Linked DNA regions of Mus musculus. The protein of the gene in region 3 interacts with the protein of the main gene of each other region in a pairwise test. Links are inferred from orthologs where the notes say so. Each region holds a gene or a part of one and is shown on either strand. Other genes may lie near its edges. The genes, in order: Psmd9, Nck2, Nckipsd and Stac.

Evidence for each region.
Region 1: the proteins of Nckipsd (region 3) and Psmd9 interact in binary tests that used the Homo sapiens proteins (3 or more experiments, as listed by UniProt). The two-hybrid records come from large-scale screens. The link is inferred for Mus musculus from reciprocal best matches to the Homo sapiens genes NCKIPSD and PSMD9.
Region 2: the proteins of Nckipsd (region 3) and Nck2 interact in binary tests that used the Homo sapiens proteins (3 or more experiments, as listed by UniProt). The two-hybrid records come from large-scale screens. The link is inferred for Mus musculus from reciprocal best matches to the Homo sapiens genes NCKIPSD and NCK2.
Region 4: the proteins of Nckipsd (region 3) and Stac interact in binary tests that used the Homo sapiens proteins (3 or more experiments, as listed by UniProt). The link is inferred for Mus musculus from reciprocal best matches to the Homo sapiens genes NCKIPSD and STAC.

Annotation. Positions count from the first base shown.
Region 1 is NC_000071.6:123,226,253-123,232,172, reverse strand, and holds the start of Psmd9 (26S proteasome non-ATPase regulatory subunit 9), read right to left. Parts: upstream 3,984-5,920; 5' UTR 3,867-3,983; coding exon 3,729-3,866; intron 1-3,728. UniProt on the Homo sapiens protein: Acts as a chaperone during the assembly of the 26S proteasome, specifically of the base subcomplex of the PA700/19S regulatory complex (RC).
Region 2 is NC_000067.6:43,443,577-43,449,188, reverse strand, and holds the start of Nck2 (cytoplasmic protein NCK2), read right to left. Parts: upstream 3,439-5,612; 5' UTR 3,162-3,438; intron 1-3,161. UniProt on the Homo sapiens protein: Adapter protein which associates with tyrosine-phosphorylated growth factor receptors or their cellular substrates. Maintains low levels of EIF2S1 phosphorylation by promoting its dephosphorylation by PP1.
Region 3 is NC_000075.6:108,810,718-108,815,873, forward strand, and holds part of Nckipsd (NCK-interacting protein with SH3 domain), read left to right. Parts: intron 1-104; exon of another isoform or gene 105-185; intron 186-328; coding exon 329-438; intron 439-831; coding exon 832-1,036; intron 1,037-1,161; coding exon 1,162-1,252; intron 1,253-1,501; coding exon 1,502-1,992; exon of another isoform or gene 1,993-2,158; coding exon of another isoform or gene 2,159-2,302; intron 2,303-3,231; coding exon 3,232-3,402; intron 3,403-3,547; coding exon 3,548-3,634; intron 3,635-3,712; coding exon 3,713-3,851; intron 3,852-3,949; coding exon 3,950-4,030; intron 4,031-4,210; coding exon 4,211-4,339; intron 4,340-4,442; coding exon 4,443-4,535; intron 4,536-4,629; coding exon 4,630-4,802; intron 4,803-5,156. UniProt on the Homo sapiens protein: Has an important role in stress fiber formation induced by active diaphanous protein homolog 1 (DRF1). Induces microspike formation, in vivo. In vitro, stimulates N-WASP-induced ARP2/3 complex activation in the absence of CDC42.
Region 4 is NC_000075.6:111,633,976-111,639,131, forward strand, and holds part of Stac (SH3 and cysteine-rich domain-containing protein), read right to left. Parts: intron 1,111-5,156; coding exon 831-1,110; intron 1-830. UniProt on the Homo sapiens protein: Promotes expression of the ion channel CACNA1H at the cell membrane, and thereby contributes to the regulation of channel activity.

The DNA.
Region 1 (5,920 bases), on a different chromosome or scaffold from region 3:
TTCTTCTTCTTTGCATAGGACTACTTAACCAGCTAGACCAACAGCAACCAACAACAACCACCCAACAACCGACAACAACTCCACGGCTCAGAGCGCTAACATTTATATATCCTCTAAAAAGCCCCCACAATTCCACGCTACCCAAGCACAGGATCGAGCTACAGCTTGCAGAACCAGGCTCCTGCTGGAGTTCAAGGCAAATCACAATCAGCTGCTGTGGTGGGCACTTGGGATTATAACAAAAACAAGCATTTCCGGGCTGGAGACTGGCTCAGCGGTTAAGAGCACTGCCTGCTCTTCCAAAAAGTCCTGAGTTCAAATCCCAGGCTCACAACCATCCATAATGAGATCTGATGCCCTCTTCTGGAGCGTCTGGAGACAGCTACAGTGTACTTACATATAATAAATAAATAAATCTTAAAAAAAAAAAAAAAAAAACCCAAGCATTTCCAAAGAAACCAAAGCTCTCACTACAGCTATGTATGAACTTTTGGATGATATATTTGCAACAATCATAATATCAAATGAGGAATGGATTTTCTGAGTTCTATGTTAACTCTATGTTTACCTTTTTGAGAAACTGCCGAACTGTTTTTGGACAGCAGTTACACCATCTTACAGTTGTATGGTATTTCCAATTTCTCCATAGTCTCCTTAAGATATTACCCATATTCTCGTTATCCCCATCCTGGTGAGTATGAGGGAGTATGGCACTGTGATTTTAACTACACTGTGGCTGTTCAGCATGCTGGGCCTTTAAGAGTTCCTCTATGTGTGCAAGTGTTTTGGATCTACGGATAGATGTGCACCATGTGTGTGCGGTGCCTGCGGAGGTCAGAAGCGGCATCGGGTACCCTGGAAGTGCAGTTACCACGCATGTGTGAGTGCTGGGAACTGAACCCAGGTCCTCTGCAAGAGCACGTGGAGCTTTTAACCGATGTCCTGAATGTGTTCACCAGCTTCTCTATCAATCATATGTATTTAATTTAAGGACCATTCACTTAGACCCTCTGCCCTGTTCTCAGTACACTATCTGTGTATTTATGACTGTGTTTTATCGCTCCGTTTTCTATATCCCAGACACCAGCTTATGAGAGGATGTGCAACCACTTCCTTCCATCCTGTGGCTTCTCTTCTTATAGTCTTGACTACGTATTATGAAATAGGAGTTTTAATAGTGATATCTAATTTATCATTTATAATCTGTTTTTACTTTTATGTGGGGGAGGGACAGAGTTTCACATATGTAGTCTAAGCTGCATACTGAGAGCCTGTCTTTTTTTTTTTCTGTTTTGTTTTTTGAGACAGGGTTTCTCTGTGTAGCCCTGATTGTCCTGGAACTCACTCTGTAGACCAGGCTGACCACAAACTCAAGAGATCCACCTGCCTCTGCCTCCCAAGTGCTTAGAATAAAGAAATGAGACATCACCACCCAGCTGGGAGCCTGTCCCTAAAATAATAATAATAATAATAATAATATGAAATAAATCAGAGCAGACAAATTTTAAGATTCAAGCCCTCAGCAACCAAAAAAAAAAAAAATTAGCCAGAGGCAATTAACATACACTCTTACCTTATATTTAAGAGAAAATAGTTATAGTTTTTCCTCTTTTGATTTGGTTTCTAATAGGTTTGTGTGTATGCAGATGCCACACATGTGCCAGTCAGAGGATAATCTCAAGGGGGCATCTCAGGAACACTATCTACCTCCTTTGAGACATGCTGTCTCACCAGCCTACAGCTCATCAAACAGGCTGGACTGGCTGCCCATAAACCCGGGCATCTTCTGTCTCTGCCTGTCCAGTTGGGATCCCAGACATGGACCAGTAACAGCCTTGAGTTCTAGGGACCAAACTCAGGTCTTGAGGTCTCTGCGGTATGCATCCGACAAACCGAGCTATACTCCTAGCCTCCCCAAACGCTGGTTTGTTCAGACAGGGTCTTGCTGTTCCACTATATAGTCCTAGAGCTCACTGTGTAAAACAGACTGGCCCTGAACGTGTGGCAATCTCCATGCTTTTGCTTGCTTCGGGCTGCAGGTATGCAACACCACACCCAGCTAAATAGTAAAGGGTAGGCCAATACCAAAAGACAATACGTGAGATGTCTGATTCTACTGGAGTTAGGCAAGTTACTGCAGTTTAAGAAATTGCTTTTTGCCAGCCGATGGTAGTGCACGCCTTAAATCCTAGCACTTGAGAGGCAGAGGCTGGTGGATCTCTGAGTTCAGGACAGCCAGAGCTACAAAAAGAAACTCTCATTCGAAAAACAAGACAAAACAAAACAAAAAATTGCTTTTTATCTGTTTTAAGCTTTACCAAGCCGGAGGCCTGTGACTTTAAACAAGTGACTTCTCCTTTCATACACACACACAGATATATGTGTATACACACACACATATACATACATACATATACACATACATATATACACATATATGTGTATCCATACATACACAGATATATGTGTACACACACACACACACACACACACACACACGGGTTTTTGTGTTTTTTTTTCTTTAAAGAGATTTGTGTCTGTTTAAACGTCTCCACGGGCGTGTGAACTTACACAGTAGTAAATTCTGGATCTCAACTCCAGTCCTTATGATGGCCAGTGCCTTTAAACCACTGAGCCATCTCTCCAGCCCCTGACTCCGCCCCTTTGAGCTTCAGGGACACAAGTTAACAATACTGCTGTGACAGTTTCCTGGCACAGCACACATACAAGATAGTACCTTTCAGGCACATGGTCAGCACCTACCTGGCCTGTAGAACCTCTATATGACACCGTCATCTGGCACCCATCACCCAGATGTCATTGTGCCCAGCAATGAGTGTGATTTAGCCTCCCCTTCCTCTATACACTGACTTGGGGTTTTATGAAAAATATATCTGCTTAGGAGGTAAACAGATCACAGAGCCAACCATTCCCCCTTCCTAACTGGGCAAGCATTGGCTCCACTCTGGCCCTGTTTCCCCTTTTACAGTAAAGACAATGTGCTTAATCTGGCTCCACTTAAAAGAGCAATTAGCAGAGGTGAGGGTTTTCTTAAAATCCAGAGTCTTTTCCCTATCCCAATTAGAGTCTGCATTTCATTTTTACTTTTCTTTTTTGTTTTTTTTTTTTTTTTTTTTTTTTGGTTTTTTTTTGAGACAAGGTCTAATATAACCCAGGACAGCCTCGAGCTTACTATGTAGGCAAGAATAACCCTCAAGTCCTGATCCCCCTGCCTCCACTCTCTAAACGCTGGGCTTAAATAGGGATGCCTCCCCTGGCTACAACGTGCATTTTAACAAGATGCCCAATTAATTCTCCCAGTTGACATTTATAAAGTCCTAAAGAAAAGCGGGTGGCGAGGCCAAACCTGGTAATGTCACCTACAGAAAGTGACAGTAGCGATTATCACTATGCCTCAGCAAATAGTCTATCCTTGCGACCGAGGCAGTTTCACTAAGGCCTATATCATGGTTGCACAGGCCCGCGATTCCCGCACTCAGAAAGATGAAGCAGGAGGATCACGAGTTCGAAGCCAGCTTAGGGGCTGCGTTAAAAACAAACAAACAAAAAACTTTAAAATGCAAAGTTAATGCTTCCGAAAATGAAAATTAATCCCACGTAAAGAAAAAATGCTTAAAGGGGCGTGTGGCACGCAGCAAAGACCCCCTCTAGGACACTGCTTGGCAGCGACCCCGAGCCTCGTCCGCAGGCCTCCCCGCCACACTCACGCTCTCCAGGACGTCGTAATTAGCCTTGATCTCCGCCTCGATCTCCTCCTTGCGTCGCATCAGATCCTGGATGTCGCTGACCGCGGCCGCACGGGCCTCGGAGGACTCTGCCCGGTGCGGAACGTCTTCACCCGACATCGCGGACCTCAAGCTAGAGTTCTGGGTTTCCCGGCTACGGACGCCAGCCGAGGCTGAGGCTACGGGTCCTCCCCGGGGCCAAAACAGCTCAGCCAACGCGCAAGTACGGAAACAGATGAAGGGTGGAGCTTGGAAGTGGGCGGGGTCACCGGCTAGATAGACCACGTGGTTTTCAGATGACCCGGTAGAGATAAATAGGCCCATAGAGGACATAGGTATTTACTCCCACTTTATCCTGACTCATTTCCACTTTTCTTGTTCATTCCTTTCTTTTTCATTCTGTCCCCGTCCCTCCATCCGTCCGTTTCCCCACCCCCCCACCCCACCCCGTTTTTCAAGACAGGGTTTCTCTGTGTATCCCTGGCTGTCCTGGAACTCACTCTGTAGACCAGGCTGGCCTCAAACTCAGAAATCCTCCTGCCTCTGCTCCCAAGTGCTGGGATTAAAGCCACCACATCTGGCTTACACTTTTTTTCATTCACTCATCTGAAGGCTGAGTAAACTGGATACCAGCTGTATAAATGTAAGAGGATCCAGTCTTGCCAACCTTGACACTTCAGTTCTTAACATCTACGAAGCCCCTGAGTGTTTGAAAGAGGCTTTCAAGCGATTTGTTTTTTGTTTTCTGTTTCTTTTCTTTTTCTTTTTCCAGACAAGATTTACTGCATCTCAGGCAGGCCTCTAACTCATTGTGTAGATGAAGGCGACCTTGAAGCTCTCCCCAAGTTTTTAGAATATTCTATTTCTTATTGTCATGATCACAGACACCCTCTAACCCCCCACTCCCATTCTATCCATTTCGCACCTCCCTCAACCTATCCTCATCAAAACTTCAAGACCTTTTTTTTTTTCCTTCTTTATAACCTAGTGTGCCCAGTGCCTTTGAGCATCTGATACTCCATCTGCTCCCTCCACAGGCAGGGATTACAGGCATGTACCACCAGGTATGGTTTATGAAATATTGGGGATCAGGAACACTCTACCAACTCAGCTATATCCCCAGCCACTTTCGGGCTGGGGATCCTCATGGTACAACCTATGTTCAAAGTTGGACCATTAACACCGACTATATATATTCCATGTGACCTTAAATAATTTCACCTTCTGCTCTCTGACCTTATTGTGTGACACTAACAGTAATATCTCTCGCTCTTTTTTTTCATTTTTATTTACTAATTTATTCCCTTTGGATCCTGATCAGAGTACACACACCCTAGCAACGTGTCTCTTAAGGGTGTCCAAGTATTTATTGACTTTCACCTCTGTCACGAGGTGCTGGTGTAACAGGCCCCCAGACCTTAGTACAACCGACTCCATAAAGAAAGTACCACTCAGGCTGGAAAACACAGCACACAGACAGCACCACCTGCCAAAACTAAAACAAAGCCGGAAGCCATCCAAGTCCACAGCTGTGGGAAAGTCTCTCCATGCACGAACCTTGCTTTTTGGCTTCAGTGGTTGTGCTCCTGGCTAATTGCTCTTGTGAACTAAGGTATATCACCCCAGGACCCGGTTTTTGTGCTCAAAAAGCTTACCCTGAAAAAGGCTCAGTGCTCCACTGGGGTCCCAAACACTTAGTGTTGTACTGGCTCACTAATAAAGACTATCAGATTAAAACTCTATCTGAGCAGTCTCCTCTCATGAATTCCCCACAAGACTGAAGTGGTAAAGAATATGAAACTGTGTCAGGCCTCTATAAATGTAGGTAAACATAGAAACTGGGGTGTGGGGTAGAGAGATGGTTCAGAGGTTAAGAACATACTTAAAGCTCTTGCAGAGGGCCTGGGTTCCCAGTACTTACATGGAAGCTTACAACTGTCTGTTACTCTAGCTCCAGGGTCTCCAATGCCCTCACCTGACCTCCACAACCATCCAGCACGCACTTAGGACACATACGTATATGCAGGCAAAACACTTGCACACTGTCTTAGTTAAGGTTCTATTGCTGTGATAAAATAGCATGGCTGTGTTAGTCAAGGTTTCTATTCCTGCGCAAACATCATGACCAACAAGCAAAGTGGGGAGGAAAGGGTTTATTTAGCTTACACTTCCAC
Region 2 (5,612 bases), on a different chromosome or scaffold from region 3:
CCAGGGTAAGAAATAATGAAGACAACTAGGAAGAAGGTCACAGATGTCCAAAGGAAACCACCAAGAAAGATCTGTTGGATGTCCCAGGACACAGTTATTGCCTCTTAGTTGAGAAGGAAGATGGTGAAATACAGGAGAAAAATGGCCCTTCAAAAAGATGATGAAATTTAAGACAGCCATATAATCTGGGAAAGGGACCTTTGGCTACTCACAAGTACTAGTCAGAGATGGAAATACCAGTGTGACCCTAGCGTGGTACTGCTATGTCGATCTAAAGAACAGTTTTCACTGTCATGGCCTGGAGGACTGAGAATTTCAGGTGGAAGTGAACTCCAGGGGAAAGAAAGGGCGGGAAGTGGGGTGGGAACTGGGGTGCCGAGGACATGATTCTCTTACCATCATGTTCTCTGTGCTTTGTGCAAAGTGAATTGCTGAAAATTAAAAGTCTTTTTAAAAATTACACTACTCTGATTGCCTAAAGAAATGCATTGCGGGGCGTGGTGTTGCACGGCTTTAATCCCAGCACTCGGGAGGCAGAGGCAGGCGGATTTCTGAGTTCGAGGCCAGCCTGGTCTACAAAGTGAGTTCCAGGACAGCCAGGGCTACACAGAGAAACCCTGTCTCGAAAAAACAAACAAACAAACAAACAAACAAAAAAAAAACAAAAAACACCATGGCTGCATACCTCTGATAGCTTGTTTTAAAAGGCTGCCTAACTTACACAGAACAGCACACAAATGGCATCATTGTTTTTTCACATATGTCCTTTGAAAACACCTTGAGAAATGTTTCTATCACTCATTTTTTTAGGAAAGAGAAACAATTCCAAAGCAACATTTGAAGTCCCTCTGGATGGGAAAATGAATTTCCTAAGTCTCTATGGGAAGCTTCCCGGTCCTTTTGTAAGAAATGTTAGCTTACAAGTTTCCCCAACCACTGTTCCCTACACTGCTCTGCACTTGCAACAAGCAGTCTTGAATTCTTCAGTCATTAAGGCTCATTATGAACATCAGAAAATCATTTCCACGAGCCTCATCAGCCCCAGTGCACACTGCAAGCCAGTCAGTTAGAAGCATGTGTGCCCTACAAAGCAACCAAGCCCAGTCTTGCCAGGGCAAATTAAGCTAATGCAAATGATCAAATAAAGGACTACAGGTCACTATGCAATCAGTGACTATCGGGCTGTTTTCAAGGGGTCATTCGGTCTGCTCCAACAAGGAAAGCTCTGGAGAGATTTAGCAAGGATGAGAGCACATTTCTCAAACACCTGGGTGCTGCTGTTTGTCAGCAATGTTCAGTACCCCAATGTTCAAGACAGAGGTCAGGAATAAGCCCGGATCAAAGAGAAAGGGAGGAAGAAGACTGAAGCAAGGACCCATGGGGAAAGCAAAACTGAAAGCCTGGAAATGGACTGAAGAGCCTACAAGGAGTTGGAAACCACCTTTTATAAGTTCGACCCATTTTAAAGGGGGTCAGTCGTCTCTCCATCGGTGGGCAAATCGCCTATCAAGTGTCCAGAGCTCACATAGCAACTTCCAACCCTGAAACTGGGGCTCTGTTCAAGCACGTGTAAGAAACTGAGAGCAAGACAGGCAGTAAGCTGTAAGTCAAAGCTTTACAGCTGCACAAAGTTCTCATTTCAGCTTCAGGTCACTGGGACCTTTACGTTCTTCAATCAAAACTACGCTAACCTACCAGGAGGTGAGAAAGTTTAAGGGAGGATTGTCACTTGTGGTCACTTAGGAAAGACCCGAAGGTGTAAAACCTTATCTGTCTAAAGTGCACTTTCTCCATTGTGTTCACTGGCTGCCTTCGCTACATAAACCAGGCACATGCACGAGAAAGTCCGGTTTCTACCTCTGTATCTATAAACACTTGGAAAGTGAATGGAGGGAGTGCCCACAGCACAGTTGAGATGTTCTGATAAAGTAGTGACCTTTAGACTAGAAAAACCACAGTTGCTAACTATACCAAAAAAAAAAAAAAAAAAAAAAACCCAGGCTGGAAACACACCCAAAATTATTCTCATTCCTCCTCAAAATCTCTGCAGAAAAGCCTGTATTGGGAGAGGAGCAGAGAAGTCTCCAGGGGAGGATACCAGCAAGCCACGCCCACTGGCCAACGGGCTGTTTCTTTTTGGGTCAACCAAGGAGCAGGCCTGTGCACCTCCAGCCCAAACTCGGACCTGTTCATCCCACACACAGACGCAAACTTGGCAAGACTGGCCTTAAACCTGTTAGCAAAATAAGGAGAGCCAAATAAGGAGGAAGCGGCCAACCTGAATGGGTTAGGGTGGCAGGGCCCACTCCACTTGGCACCCAGCTGTGTCCCCAAGCTGTTCACAATACTACTGTAAGTCACCTCTGCTATCCATTAACCACCACCCGCGCACACCTTCCGGGAGGATCGCTGTTGTGTATAAATAACAGCGTTTTGCAAATCAAACCTCTCCACACAATGCCAAGCTAACAGCGCTCAAAAGGGAGGTGCCACCGGGGCATTAAAAGTCACACATCAAATTCTTGCAGAACCACTTGCTTAAATCGCCCTGAATAAATAAACTGAGGGGGCAGAGCAACCGGGAAAAACTTTGGTTGAGGAGGTTTAAGTCTTGGAAATGCGGGACCGGGCGCAGGGACTGGAAGGAACCAGGCACAAAAGCGCCCTGCGCCGAGGCAAGGACCTCCTTTATGGAACGTGACAGCAGCTTTGTGCCGGATCACGAATAGTTCTAAATACTGGAAGTTCTCCCCGGCCATCGCAGCCTCCCGCTTCCTAGCGCTGTGGCCCTCAGATCCCAGGCTATTCTTCCCAGGCACGCGCGCCCGGCGACCTGGCCACTGTTCGGTCCCACGCCCGCCCACAGGCCAGGGCTGCTAGTGTTCCCGAGGGCTTTGGGTCCTTGGTCCCCGGAGTCCGCCCGCGGAGGGCGCCCCACCCCCACGCCAGCCCCAGGCAGAGGGAGGCGAGGGCTCGCAGGAAGGTGTGTGTATCCGAGGTGCGGGTGCCCGGGGACGCCAGGCCGCGGCGGGGCTGAGGGCACCGGCCGGGTACGCAGGGGTACGCGCTCCCTGGCCCTCCCCGGGCGGCCGCGGCCCGCTCGCCCCTCTCTTCCAACTCCACGGACCGGCCCAAGTTTGCAGCCCCCGCCATCGCCTTACCTCGCCGCACAGTGCACGCCGAGGCCGGAGGGCAGCAGCGCGAGTCCCGGGGCGGCGGCCGCGCTGCGCCCGCCCAGATGCCGCTCTTTGTCTGCACCGCTCCCTCCTCCCGCCACCAAGCGGACGCAATTGGACCCGGCGGACCCCGCCGGCCCGGGAGCCCCGAGCCTGCCTGCCGCCGAGCCCTCCTCACCACCACCGTCGCCGCCGCCGCCCGCTCGGCCGCGCGCACCGGCCTGCGATCCGCGGCGGCGACCCTCCCGCGCAGCGCCCGCCTCCGCGCGCTCCCCGCCCGCGCTCCTCCCTGGCTGCCGTGACGCCGCCCAGGGGCCGGCCCAGCCCGGCGCACGCGGGGCGGGGGACCCACCTGGGAGTCCCAGCCAGGCCTCGGGAAAGCGCCGCCTGGGGGCTTCAAGCCGTAACCCGCTCTAGATTGGAGCTGGGGGCACCCGGGAGGGGCTGCTAGGGATAAGGAGGTGCCACTTGCAGCCCACGAGACCGGGTGGTCTCCGCACCCGGCTGTGCGTCGGGAGCCTTACAGCGACCTCCCTACCCCGCCCCCCAAGCATTCCCACGGCACTCTCAGCCAAACAGGCCTGGTGTCTGTCAGAAAAGTGACTTACATAAAAATGTCACTTCCTCCCAGTAATTGCTTGTGGGCATTTTCTTTATTTATTTGCCTTGCATTTATTTACTTTCCCATCCAGACACTTTTTTACTCCATCCCCCCCACCCCCAACCTCCAGGCGGGACCACTTCCTAGTGGGGGAGGAGAGGAAACCCGACCTCAGCTGCCTCCGCAGCGTCCTGGCCAGTTTATTAGAGCCCAGGAATTCTTTAGTACAGGAGGCTGAGAAAGCTTTAGAAGGAAACCTTGCTCTCCCAGACTTGAGTAGTAGCTAACCTATAAGCAAACTTGGAAAGCTAGAACCCTGGATCGAAGAGAAGGACTGGATCCAGAGGTTTCTTCTCCAAGCTCCTTCGCTCCTTATACCCCAAAGGAACCCCTGATATTCAAATAAATTCCGCTTTCAGGTCGGACGACTCACATTTATGTTAATGAGATTCAACCCTAGCCCTTGTTTCCTCCTTATTAAGGCAGAAACAATTCACCCTACGTAACAAAAAAAGAAAAAGAAAGAAAGAAAAGTTGCCTGCCTTCTTATAGGAAGTTCCCAGGCATAAGTAACGTGAGGAAGCTTGGCTATAGTCCTCGCAGCCATTGACCGTAGGCTCCTGAACTGTGTCACCTTACACAGGTGTTTCACAACTTCCTCGGCTTTATCACATGAGATGTTTACCTGCCTTCTATGTTAAGTACCTGGCACGTAGCCTGACACGAGGGCACTAGGAGGCATCCTGTACAAAATCAGCACACCCAACAGTCTCTTCCAGTCGGAGATGCTAGCTTCATCCGTTCTTTGTTACAGACCTCATCTTTGTTACTATCTAGCTTTACAACAATGAAGGCAGAACTCTAACCAATAGTTTAGCCCTACTTAAAATTAGTTTATGCTAAATAAGTAAGACGATATGGACACAGTTTTTAAGCTTTTGCTTTGAAAAGTGGCCTCAGACTCCTCTCACTGATTCTGTATAAGATCTCCAGGGAGATTTGAACAAGAAGGACTCCCCTTGGCTCATATATTTGCAGGCCAGTTAGTAAACTATTTAGATTAGGAGGGTATGTCCTTGTTGGAGGAGATGAGTCACTGGGAGTAAGCTTTGAACTTAGCCAGCACCTGTGTGTCTGGGTGTCTGTGTGCTTGCTGCACAGTGGATCAGAGTATAGCTCTCAGCTACTTCCCTAGCAACATGCCTGGCTGCTACCAAGCTTCCCACCGTGATGACAGTGGACCAAGCCACTGGAATTGTAAGCAAGCCCCCAATTAAATCCATAGATGATAGATCAGTGTGTGTGTGTGTGTGTGTGTGTGTGTGTGTGTGTGTGTGAGAGAGAGAGAGAGAGAGAGAGAGAGAGAGAGAGAGAGGTGTCTTAGGTTTTTTTTCCACATTTTTTTTATTACGTATTTTCCTCAATTACATTTCCAATGCTATCCCAAAAGTCCCCCATACCCTCCCCGCCACTCCCCTACCCACCCATTCCCACTTTTTGGCCCTGGCGTTCCCCTGTACTGGGGCATATAAAGTTTGCGTGTCCAATGGGCCTCTCTTTCCAGTGATGGCCTACTAGGCCATCTTTTGATACATATGCAGCTAGGTGTCTTAGTTTAGTTTGGGTGTTATTGCTGTGAGGAGACACCATAACCAAGGCAACTCTTATAAGGGCAAATACTTCATTGGGGCTGGAGTACCATTTCAGAAGTTCGGTCCATTGTCATCATGGTCTGAAGCAGGGCAGCATGCAGGCAGATATGGTGCTGGGGGAGCCAAGAGTTCTACATCTTGATCGGAAGGAAGCCAGAAGGAGACTGGGCAGAGCTTGAGCAC
Region 3 (5,156 bases):
TCTTCCCTTTTGGCATCTCATGCTGGGCTCTGAGCCAAGCCCAGGGAGAGACTAGGTTTGGACTCCTGGTCCCAATCTGGGATTCCTATGGTTTCTCTCTATAGGTTTTTAGAATTGTCTTTGCCGAGAGCCTGTGTATGCAAGCCCCTAAATGTAAACTATAAAATACCATCACAGAGTCCCAGGTAACACGATTTGACCACTTCATTCTGTATTCCATTTTGGCTGTCTTCTAGTGTCCAGAATTCTAGGCTAGTTCCAGATTGGGCTGGGTCTGGGCTGACCAATCCCACTTGGCACCCAGGTCTAACTACCCACCTACCTTTAGGGCATGGAACAAGATGTCCTCCAAGCTATTGACCGTGCCATTGAGGCTGTGCACAACACAGCCATGCGAGATGGCGGCAAGTACAGCCTGGAACAGCGTGGAGTCCTTCAGTGAGTATCTGGGAAGTGGAGGTAATACCTTCCCTTGAGCGTGTTGGTGGGGCCAGAGACACTGGAGGCAGTACTAGGGTTAGTGCGAGGTTCCACAGAGTGGGATGAATGATGGGAAAGATGGACGATGAGGAGCCTGTACTGTGAGGTCCCAGAATCCCGCAGGGGGTTTAAAAAAAGATTTATTTTAAAGTGTATATATGAGAGAAAGTGTATATGTGTGTGAGAGTATGTGCATGCATGTGTGTGTGTGTATGTGTGTGCATGCATGTGTGTGCATGCATGTGTGTGCATGCATTTGTGTGTGCATGCATGTGTGTTGTATGCATGTGTGTGTGTACTTTGGGTGTAGAGAGGAGCCTTCCCATCATGGTCTGTTTGTCTCTCTATTAGGAAGCTTATCCATCACCGGAAAGAAACCTTGTCTCGAAGAGGCACCTCAGCTTCCAGTGCTACGGTTATGACCCCATCCACCAGTGACCACCATTTGGACGCTGCTGTATCTAGACAGCCCAATGGGGTGTGTCGAACTGGGTTTGAACGGCAGCATAGCCTGCCCAGTTCTGAGCATCTTGGGACAGATGGAGCCCTCTACCAGGTATGGAGTAAGGGTATCTTTTAGAAGGAGGTGTCTGGGACTAAGACTTCATCCAGAGGCCCAAGGGGTCTGCTCAGGTGCAGCTAGCAGCTGTCTTCCCCTAGATCTCAATTCTGTTCTCTCAGGTTCCACCACAGCCTCGACGAGCAGCTCCTACCACCCCACCCCCACCGGTGAAGCGCCGAGACCGTGAGGCCCTGGTGATCTCAGGGAGTGGTGAGAGGGCCAGGCTTGGGTAGTTGGGATGGGAGTACCCTGCGCTTGGAATGGTTGCTCTGCCCATGTTGGGCAAATGGGAGCTCTGAATGGGGTAAATATAGAGTTTGTTTGGGGCCTCCAGGCTTGGTGAGGAGATAGGGCCTAACAGAGGAACTAGGTCTTGTACTAGGGTCAGGTTCTCTAGGCCAAGAAGCTTGGTGCTCCCCAACAGGCTGCCCCAGCATAGCTTTTACTTCTTGTTCACAGGTGGCCGCACAGCCATACCCTCTGGAGGTAGTTCTGTGTCTAGTGGCTCATCAGCCAGCAGCACCTCCATGGACACACTCTATACTGGCTCCAGCCCCTCTGAGCTAGGTCCCAGCTGCTCACCCACACCCCCGCCGGTACCTCGCCGAGGGGCCCACACTACTGTGTCCCAGCCCCAGCCCTCTCCCTCCAAGGCACCATCCCCTGAGCCCCCTACGGAGGAGGTGGCAGCTGAGACAAACTCAACCCCTGATGACTTGGAAGCTCAGGATGCCCTGAGCCCAGAGACCACAGAGGAGAAGGCAGCCGCTGAGACAGTTGTGCCAAGGACCATTGGGGCAGAGCTGATGGAACTCGTGCGGAGAAACACCGGTCTAAGCCATGAGTTATGCCGTGTAGCCATCGGCGTCGTGGTGGGTCACATCCAGGCCACCGTGCCAGCCAGCTCACCTATCATGGAGCAGGTCCTCCTCTCGCTGGTAGAAGGCAAGGTGAGGGTGGGCAGCATGGCCAAGGAGCCTTCCCACCCTCAGGCAGCCTGCTAATCCCACCCCGCTCCTGCCCTCACGCCTTTGTCCAGGCTGTGTGACAGGTATTTGTCAAGCTCTGGCCCTTGGCTTTTACTGTGCTGGGTCCTAGAGTCATTTGAGTTGACCCATGAAGGAGAAAGGGAGGAAGAACGTTCTAGACAGAGACTCAGCTTATAAGGAACAAGAGACAGGACCAAGCATGGCTCACAGGAAGGAAGAAGGTGGATGGCATATCTGCATCAGAGGCAGTGTGGGAGCCGGTGAGCCTAAGGCAGGTGATAAGGGAGACCAGGATGAGATGGGACTAGGGGAAGCTTCCCATCACCTGGAGGGGTTTCCCACTGGTGCTCCTTCTGTGATTCCGGATGCAGGGAAAGAAGCGAGACAGCATGGGGTGAGAGATCAGTGCCTTGCCAGCCTTGACGGTGTAGAGAAAAGGGGGCTTGGTTAACTATGGACGCTTGCTTAGTTTTGATAGTGGTTTAGGTGCCAGCTTGGATGGTAGTGAGTGACGTGGGCATTTCAAGATGACTGTGGTCGTTTCTCAAGGTTAGGGTACTGGTGTTAGGTCTGGTGCTGCACGCCTTTAATACCAGCACTCAGGAGGCAGAGGCAGGTGGCTCTCTGGGTTTGAGGCCATCTTGGTTTACAATGCAAATTCTAGGACAGCCAGAGAAACTGTGTCTCTGAGAAAAAAAAAAAAAGTAGGTCACTCATTAGGAGAAGGAACGCGGTAGTGAGTCCTGACTACGATAGGGTTTGAGTGGGCCAAAGGTGGTACTTAGGCTCCACCTATGATATCTGGTTGGAGTGAGTAGAGGGCAGTAGGCCAGTGTTTTGTGTGCCTATGCTGAGCATAGCAGCTAGTGTCTAGTATGACAGGCCTGGTGTCACATTGTGTGGAATGGGATGAGGATGGATCCTGAGTCACATTCAAGGAGTGACAGAGTTCGTTCCTGCCTCTTGGGAGCTGCTCAGCAAGTTCCAGGGTGGGAGCTGGGATGTTGGGAATTCCCACAGCTGAGCCTTGAGCAGAGTCTTGTACCAGGAGGTGGAAACTGGAGTTGGCCTACACAGTGTAAATTTTGTGGGACCTCAGTTCAAAGAATGCTAAGCTTAGAGGGGCCAGGTCTTGGAGGCTTCCTGGAGCTGGTGGTGTGCAGAGGTCTTACTGAGTCATACCCTGCCTTCTCCCCACAGGACCTGAGCACAGCCCTACCCTCAGGGCAGGTCTGCCACGACCAGCAGAGACTGGAAGTGATTTTTGCAGACCTGGCTCGAAGAAAGGATGACGCCCAGCAGCGCAGCTGGGCGCTGTACGAGGACGAGGACGTCATCCGCTGCTATCTGGAAGAACTGCTGCACATCCTGGTATGGGGCAGGGACGGACCCTCGGGCCTGCCGGCGTGGGAGCAGTGAGCCTCCCCTGGACCATCACCCTTCAGCCATTAGGTCACTTCTGCTCATGCATGCTCACCTCACACTGGGTGACTCTCACTCTTTCTCTTCCCTCCAGACGGATGCAGATCCCGAAGTTTGCAAGAAAATGTGCAAAAGGAGTGATTTTGAGTCTGTCCTAGCCTTGGTGGCCTATTACCAAATGGTATGTATAAGACAAGGGAGGGGCACAGAGGCATGTGGGCAGACGTAAGGGCACTTAGCACACGGGTTCTTCTGCCAGGAACACCGAGCGTCTCTACGGCTGCTGCTCCTCAAGTGTTTCGGTGCCATGTGCAGCCTAGATGCAGCGATCATCTCCACTCTGGTGTCTTCCGTGCTGCCTGTGGAATTGGCACGGGACATGCAGACCGACACGCAGGGTGAGGTGGGGTGGCCCTCCTTACCACTCGGAGGCTGTTTTCACCGTCTGCCGGGGATCCCTGGCCTTGCTGACTCCTTCCTTACCCCCCACCCCCAGACCACCAGAAGCTCTGTTACTCTGCCCTCGTCCTGGCCATGGTCTTCTCCATGGGAGAGGCGGTACCCTACGCACACTATGGTAAGAATCAAACCCTAAGCAGTGGGCACAAGGCCCCAGAGGTAAGAACCATGCGTCTCTCCAGGGCCTGAAGACCTACTGACTAGAGATGGTGTTCTTAGGCTCACAGAAAGCCAGGGAGGCTGGATCGTATGGGGAGCAAAAGTTGGATTTGTAGATTTCCTTATGCTACTCTTTTAGAACACCTGGGTACACCCTTTGCCCAGTTCCTACTAAGCATCGTTGAGGATGGCCTTCCAATGGACACCACGGAGCAGCTGCCAGACCTCTGCATGAACCTGCTTCTGGCTCTCAACCTGCACCTGACAGGTGGGGTGGGGCCATCTGGAAGGCAGCTGAGCAGTGGGCTTTTCGGGCTTCGCGGGCTTCTGTGCCTACACTCTTACCTGTCTCCATCCACGTCTCTCCGCAGCTCCTGAGCAGAATGTCATCATGGCTGCCTTGAGCAGACACACCAATGTGAAGATCTTCTCTGAGAAGCTGCTTCTGCTTCTGAACAGAGGGGGTGAGAGCCTAGAAGTCTGCATGGGTGCCGCTTGCGTACACACTTGACTCTGTCACGTGCCCTCCTCTGACTCCTGTGAACCCCTGTCTTCTAGACGACCCTGTGCGTATCTTCAGACATGAGCCCCAGCCACCACACTCTGTCCTCAAGTTCCTGCAGGATGTGTTCAGCAGCTCTGCCACAGCCGCCATCTTCTACCACACAGACATGATGGCGCTTATTGACATCACTGTGCGCCAGATCGCAGACCTGTCACCTGGAGACAAGGTGCCTGGGGGCCGCACAGCAGCTTAACCAAAAGGGGTGACTATGACATTGAGTGCAGATGAGGGGGCAGGGCTGCCGCTGCCAGGGCCAAGTGAGTGTGGAAGACTACTCGGAAACCAGGACATGGCAGCCAGCCGTGTATGTGGCAGACTGGAGCAGGATGTCTGAGGCGAGCTGGAATCGCTTTTCAGAAGAGGAAGAGACACTGCCTTCCTGTGAGAGCAGAGTGGAAGCCAGGAAGCCCGGGGCAGGAGTGGGTGGTGAAGTAGGCCAGGCTTGGGTGTGTTGCAAGTGGGCCCGGAAGAGCCTGCTTTGGGATTGGTTTTGAGCAGGTAGGTGGATAGAAGATGGTTA
Region 4 (5,156 bases), about 2.8 Mb from region 3:
AAACTACTGTAGGTCCAGAGGCAATTGGTCTTGGGCTATCTTTAGTTTCCCAGTCATTAATAACCCACCTGTGTTTGACCTACCAGCCTTGTAAGACTTGGAGGTAAAGACCTCTCAGAATATATGTTGACCTTAAACTTCCTCCATCCCAAAGGCTGAAGATGTCACAGATCAGATCACATCTGAGGTTGATACCTGAAACTCCCTGCTTTTCTGTGACATGCTGACCACACCCATATATTTGAAAAAAAAATCCCTTGATTTATAGCTTTCATGAACCATTGACTCATAGTATCGGGGTAGCCTAAATCTGTATTCCTGGGACCATGGTCACTAATATTTGACGTTAGAAGAAACTGTCTCTTAGTCTCTTTTACATTGACACACCCCTTAACTGGACCTTGACAAGGATGAGGGAACCAGAGAACATTCTGCCTTCCTGGCCTCATAGCCATCACTGAGGCATCCAGTTTCAGTGATGACAGGTACAAACATCTCAGGTCTCTGGTGCCTACCTGGAATAACAGGCTCAGGCAGGTATACGTGGGCCACATACAGAAAGGGTATGAAGGGAACCAGGCTTCTGGTGGACGATGCCAGCTGCTGTCTTGGTTCCAACCATATTCCAAACTAATTCTCCCTCCACCTAGCCCTGTTTGCCTTTGCTTTGGGTAAGGCCCCTCCATCATGGCCACTCCCCACATTGACCTTCTTACATTTAACTCTCTGAAGCTCAGAGCTGGTCTATGGGTCCCCTGAACCTGGGCCTCCAGCTCTCATTCCTTTTCCCAAGGACATTGTACCTGTAGGGGTGGGGGTAGGGGTCTTACCCACGATCATGTGGTTGCAGACATCACAGAAGGTGGGCTTCTTAAAGACATGCTCCTGAAAGGCGTGGAGCTTGCTGTTGCTGCCGGGGTGCAGGCCAGCCTTGGTGGGCATGGACGCTGGGCTTCCAGGGATGGCTATTGGGCTGGGGCCTGGGCTGGCCTTGGCCAGCAGGTCTGCTTGCGGTTTCACATCACTGTTGGTTCTTGGGAAGAAGTTGTCAGCACTTTTGCTCCGCAAGCTCTTGGTCTTGAAAGAAAGTGACCGTTTTAGTTTCTGGAGCTGCAAGGCAATGACAGGACAGCCTCTCTTATGATGGGTCCTGTGACTCCTGTGGGGGATGCAGCCAGCTCTGCCCTAGACCCCATGTATACCTGGGAAGTTCTGCCAGGCCCCAGGGCGGGCAGTCCAAGGCTGGTGGATACCTGAAATGGGACTCAGTAGTTCATCCTGTATCCCATAAGCTAGTGAGCAGGGAGAGGCTCCACATGACCCATTCCACCATCTTCCTTCCCAGCCTTGCTTTCTTAGGCCCCACCAATGTGCTGCCTGAAGTCCCAGGACACAAGTCTCAGGACCCTGGGATTTTGACCTTTTGTCTTGAGTTTTCATAGTTGGAAGTGAGGTATGAACTCCTGGATACCAAGGCTGTGTGTTATACTGTCTTCTCTCTTGTACGGCCAGTCAGTAGTTATTTGTCTCTAAGGACAGTAAAGTATACAAACAATGTCTCCCTCTGACTTGACATTAATCTGGCTAAATGGTCTCCAGGACACAAACCAGAAGCTTGCTAGTCTGCTTGTACCTGAAACATGTGGAAAGAAGCATGTACAGTGTTTAAGACATGCCTGTATGCCCACGTGGTATGTGTGTGTGTAGTATATGCATGTGAATAGTGTATGTACATGTGTATTTGTACAAGTATGTGTGTTATATATGTGGTATGTATGTATGAATATATATGCACATACCTGGGTGTATGTGGTATGAGGGACTGTGAGGTATGTATGTGATACATGTTTATGTATGTGGTGTGTGTTTAAGACTTAGTATTTCAAAAGCCTTGCTTAGCTCTCCTGGCCCTTCAGGTGTCCTTGCCCTGCTTTTCAGCCTCAGTAAACTAGATCATTTCTCTCTTGCCTATGGGACTTATGGTGAGCCACCACATGGATTTGGAAGGGTGCTCACAGGACTTGAGTCCAGTCTGCATTGCTAATCTGACCATGCAGGAGGAAACTTCTGGACGCACAGATGTGAGCGCAGGAGCTTTGCGCTTAAAATCCTCTGAGGACTTCCCTTCTTCTTAGGCATAAAGAGCAGCTTTGGCTGAATGTGGCACTGCAGGCCTAGACCCCTAGCTACTCAGGAGGCTGCAACTCTCAGATCACATGGCCTGCAGAGTGAGTTTGGGTCAGCTTTGGCAAGTCCACGTCTTGAAAATTAAATAGTGAGAAAACAAGGCTGAAGATCCAGCTCAGTGGTAGAGTGCCTGCCTGGCTGGGTAAAACGCTAGGCTCGGTCCCTGCACTAAAATCACAAAGGGTCCAGCTCCTGCTGCTCAGACTCCTGGGCCCTTGGCACTGATCACAGTCTGCACCAACCTTGGCTTTGCTCAGTCTTGCCAGCTATCGTGGCTCTTGAAAAAATCTCTCAAGCATTTCATTATCAGCCCTTAGCACCCGCCTTTCTGCCACCCAGATAGAAGGAGTAAACAATGAACTAGCTGCATGGCTTTCAGGGGTCCATCAGCTTTGAGGTGGGCTCCTTTGGTTAAGTATTCATCTGGAGCCATTCTTGCTGTAGGCTATGCATGAAGGTACCCTGTGCTGACTGGAGTCTCCACACAGTGGGGCCAGGCTCCCTGAAGACAGTGAAGAAGAGCTGGTGGGGCAGTGTCAAGCCTGTCACCTCCCTCCCCACCTCTATCTTGACCTCAGAGGACAAGGAAGCCACTGCGGTCACAGAGCTGAGGTTCAGGCATAGCACAAAAAGTGTGTTCTTCTCACCTCCCAATGGTCTTGCCAATTTTCAGCGTGCTTTTGCAATAGACTGAACTCAGGTCATCTGGAACAGCAGCGAGTGCTCTTAACCACTGGCTGAATAGAGTCTATTTTCCACTCTGTGAACTTGCTGGCTGGAGGATTTGTCTGGTTTTAGGGATACAGATGAGACGAGATCTTATATCATAGCCTAAGCTGGCTTCGAACTTACGACACAGCCCAGATCGTCCTCAGACTTGCAAGATATCCTCTTCCCTCAGCCCGCTGCTGAGAGTTCAGATGTGAGCCACCAGGCATTTGAACTTTTATTTCACTTTAATGTCAGGCTGATGAGTGGGAATTAGCAAATAAAAGACACTTGTTATGAAGCCCAGAGACCTGAGGTCCATGCCTGGGACCCACGGGATGGGAGAACTGACTCACACAAGTTGTACTGTGACCACCAGCTGTGTGCTGTGGTGCACATGTACATACACAAGTGCAATTATATTCTAAAAAATTAACTATATATTCATTGAACATTGTACTATCATATAAGGACATTTCATACACGTATGTTATTGGTTCAACACATCCTCAAAACTAAGTTACATGTTCATTATCTATTCTAGATGTCTGGCAACAGAGGAACAGATGAGGAATGTGATTATGTGTATATATATATATATAATCTTTTTTGTCATAAAAATGAAAGTTATGTTATTTGAAAGAAAATGATGTAACTGGAGATAGTAATTTAGTAGTTAAGTAAATTAACCCAGTTTCAGAAAGAGAAATATCATGTTTTCCTTTACTTGGGATTTTTAGATTTTTATACAGAAGCATAAGAATCACGTGTGTATGTATGTATATATGTATGTATGTATGCATGTATGTATGTATGCATGTATGTGTGTATGACAAGTGTATGACCAATGCCAATAGGGAACAAAGAGAACTAATGAGAGAGAAGACTGTGTTGGTGTGGAGGAGAAGAGCTCTAAGCCAGTTTGAAGGCAGGACCCCCGTGGCTCCTTTGGAAGCCTGCCAAATGCTTTCAAGACCAAATGTATGATAACCTGAGAGACTGTGCAAAACAAGTCTCCTTCACCCAGGGAGTTCACTGACCTGAGCCATACCACCTCCTGCAAGACAAAAGGGGACTCTAGTGGAGACCACAACTTCCCAGCCAAGTTCCATGCAGATTATGCACCCTGCTCCCCACCAGAAATATGACGGTAGTTGATGCTATTAAGTTGCCCATCTGCTGTGCTGTGCTTACAGGACAGTGTATAACCAACACAGGAGCATAGGCCAGGACGGTGTTATTGGAGCCTCTGAGAAATGAAGGAGATCAAGTAACCAGGTCAAACAGCTCATGAAAAGCAGGTTCAACGTTAGCCTGCCTTCTGCTGACCTCAGGCTCATTCCTTTCTTGGTCAGTGAGTCTCCAGGTGTTGGTTAAGAGTGGAAGTTACACCAGGTCTCAGGAACATGGAACCTCTAATGGTCAGTGAGAATGGAGAAAGACTGTGATCTCCAGAAGTTTACACAGAAGTTGGTGCTTTCCTTCCTTGCCCTGGTGTGTGTGGGTGGACACCGTGTCAGGCAAGGGGGTCTGCCTGCTTCTAGAGCCAGAGATTTTGTTGGAAGGCAATGGGACATTTCTTATTGAAATGGACTGCTTGAAAGACACGCCTACCTGGATGAGGGAGAGATCCCCTCATGCCCCCCTCCCCCCTCACCACCTGCCCCAGGTAGGAGACCTGGCACTGGGGTCATAAGAGCAGGAGAGAGAGCCCTGCCCTTCACTACCTGCAGGACTCAGGAGAGCAGGGCCCTGCACCTTGTCTGGGGAGCACAGTAGAGCTGATTGACCCTGGTGTGTGTGTGTGTGTGTGTGTGTGTGTGTGTGTGTTTGTGTGTTAGTGTGTGTGTGTGTTTGTGTGTGAAAAGACCTGAGTGGAGGAGGCCTGAGGGTATGAGCATGGGAGAGCTAGCCTCGACATTTGTCTACCATTCAGTGATATGGATGAGGGAGAGATGCCATGCACTCCGCCCCCCATACTCCTTGTTACCTATAGCAGGCAGGAGAGCCAGAGGTCGTCAGAGCCAGAGAGCAGACCCTGTACCTCACTTAGGTAACACAGTATAGCTGAACTTGATTGCTGGGGGCACAGGTAAGCCAGCTCAAGGGTGTGGCCATGAGAGAGCTGGGCCCTCAACTTGTCTGCAAGGAAGATGTGCATTTCCCCACACCTGCCCCTTGCCTCCTACAGCTGGCCTAGTGGCCTTGAGAGTGGGAGAACTGGTCATACCCTTCACCTTCTGCTACACTCAGGAAAGCAT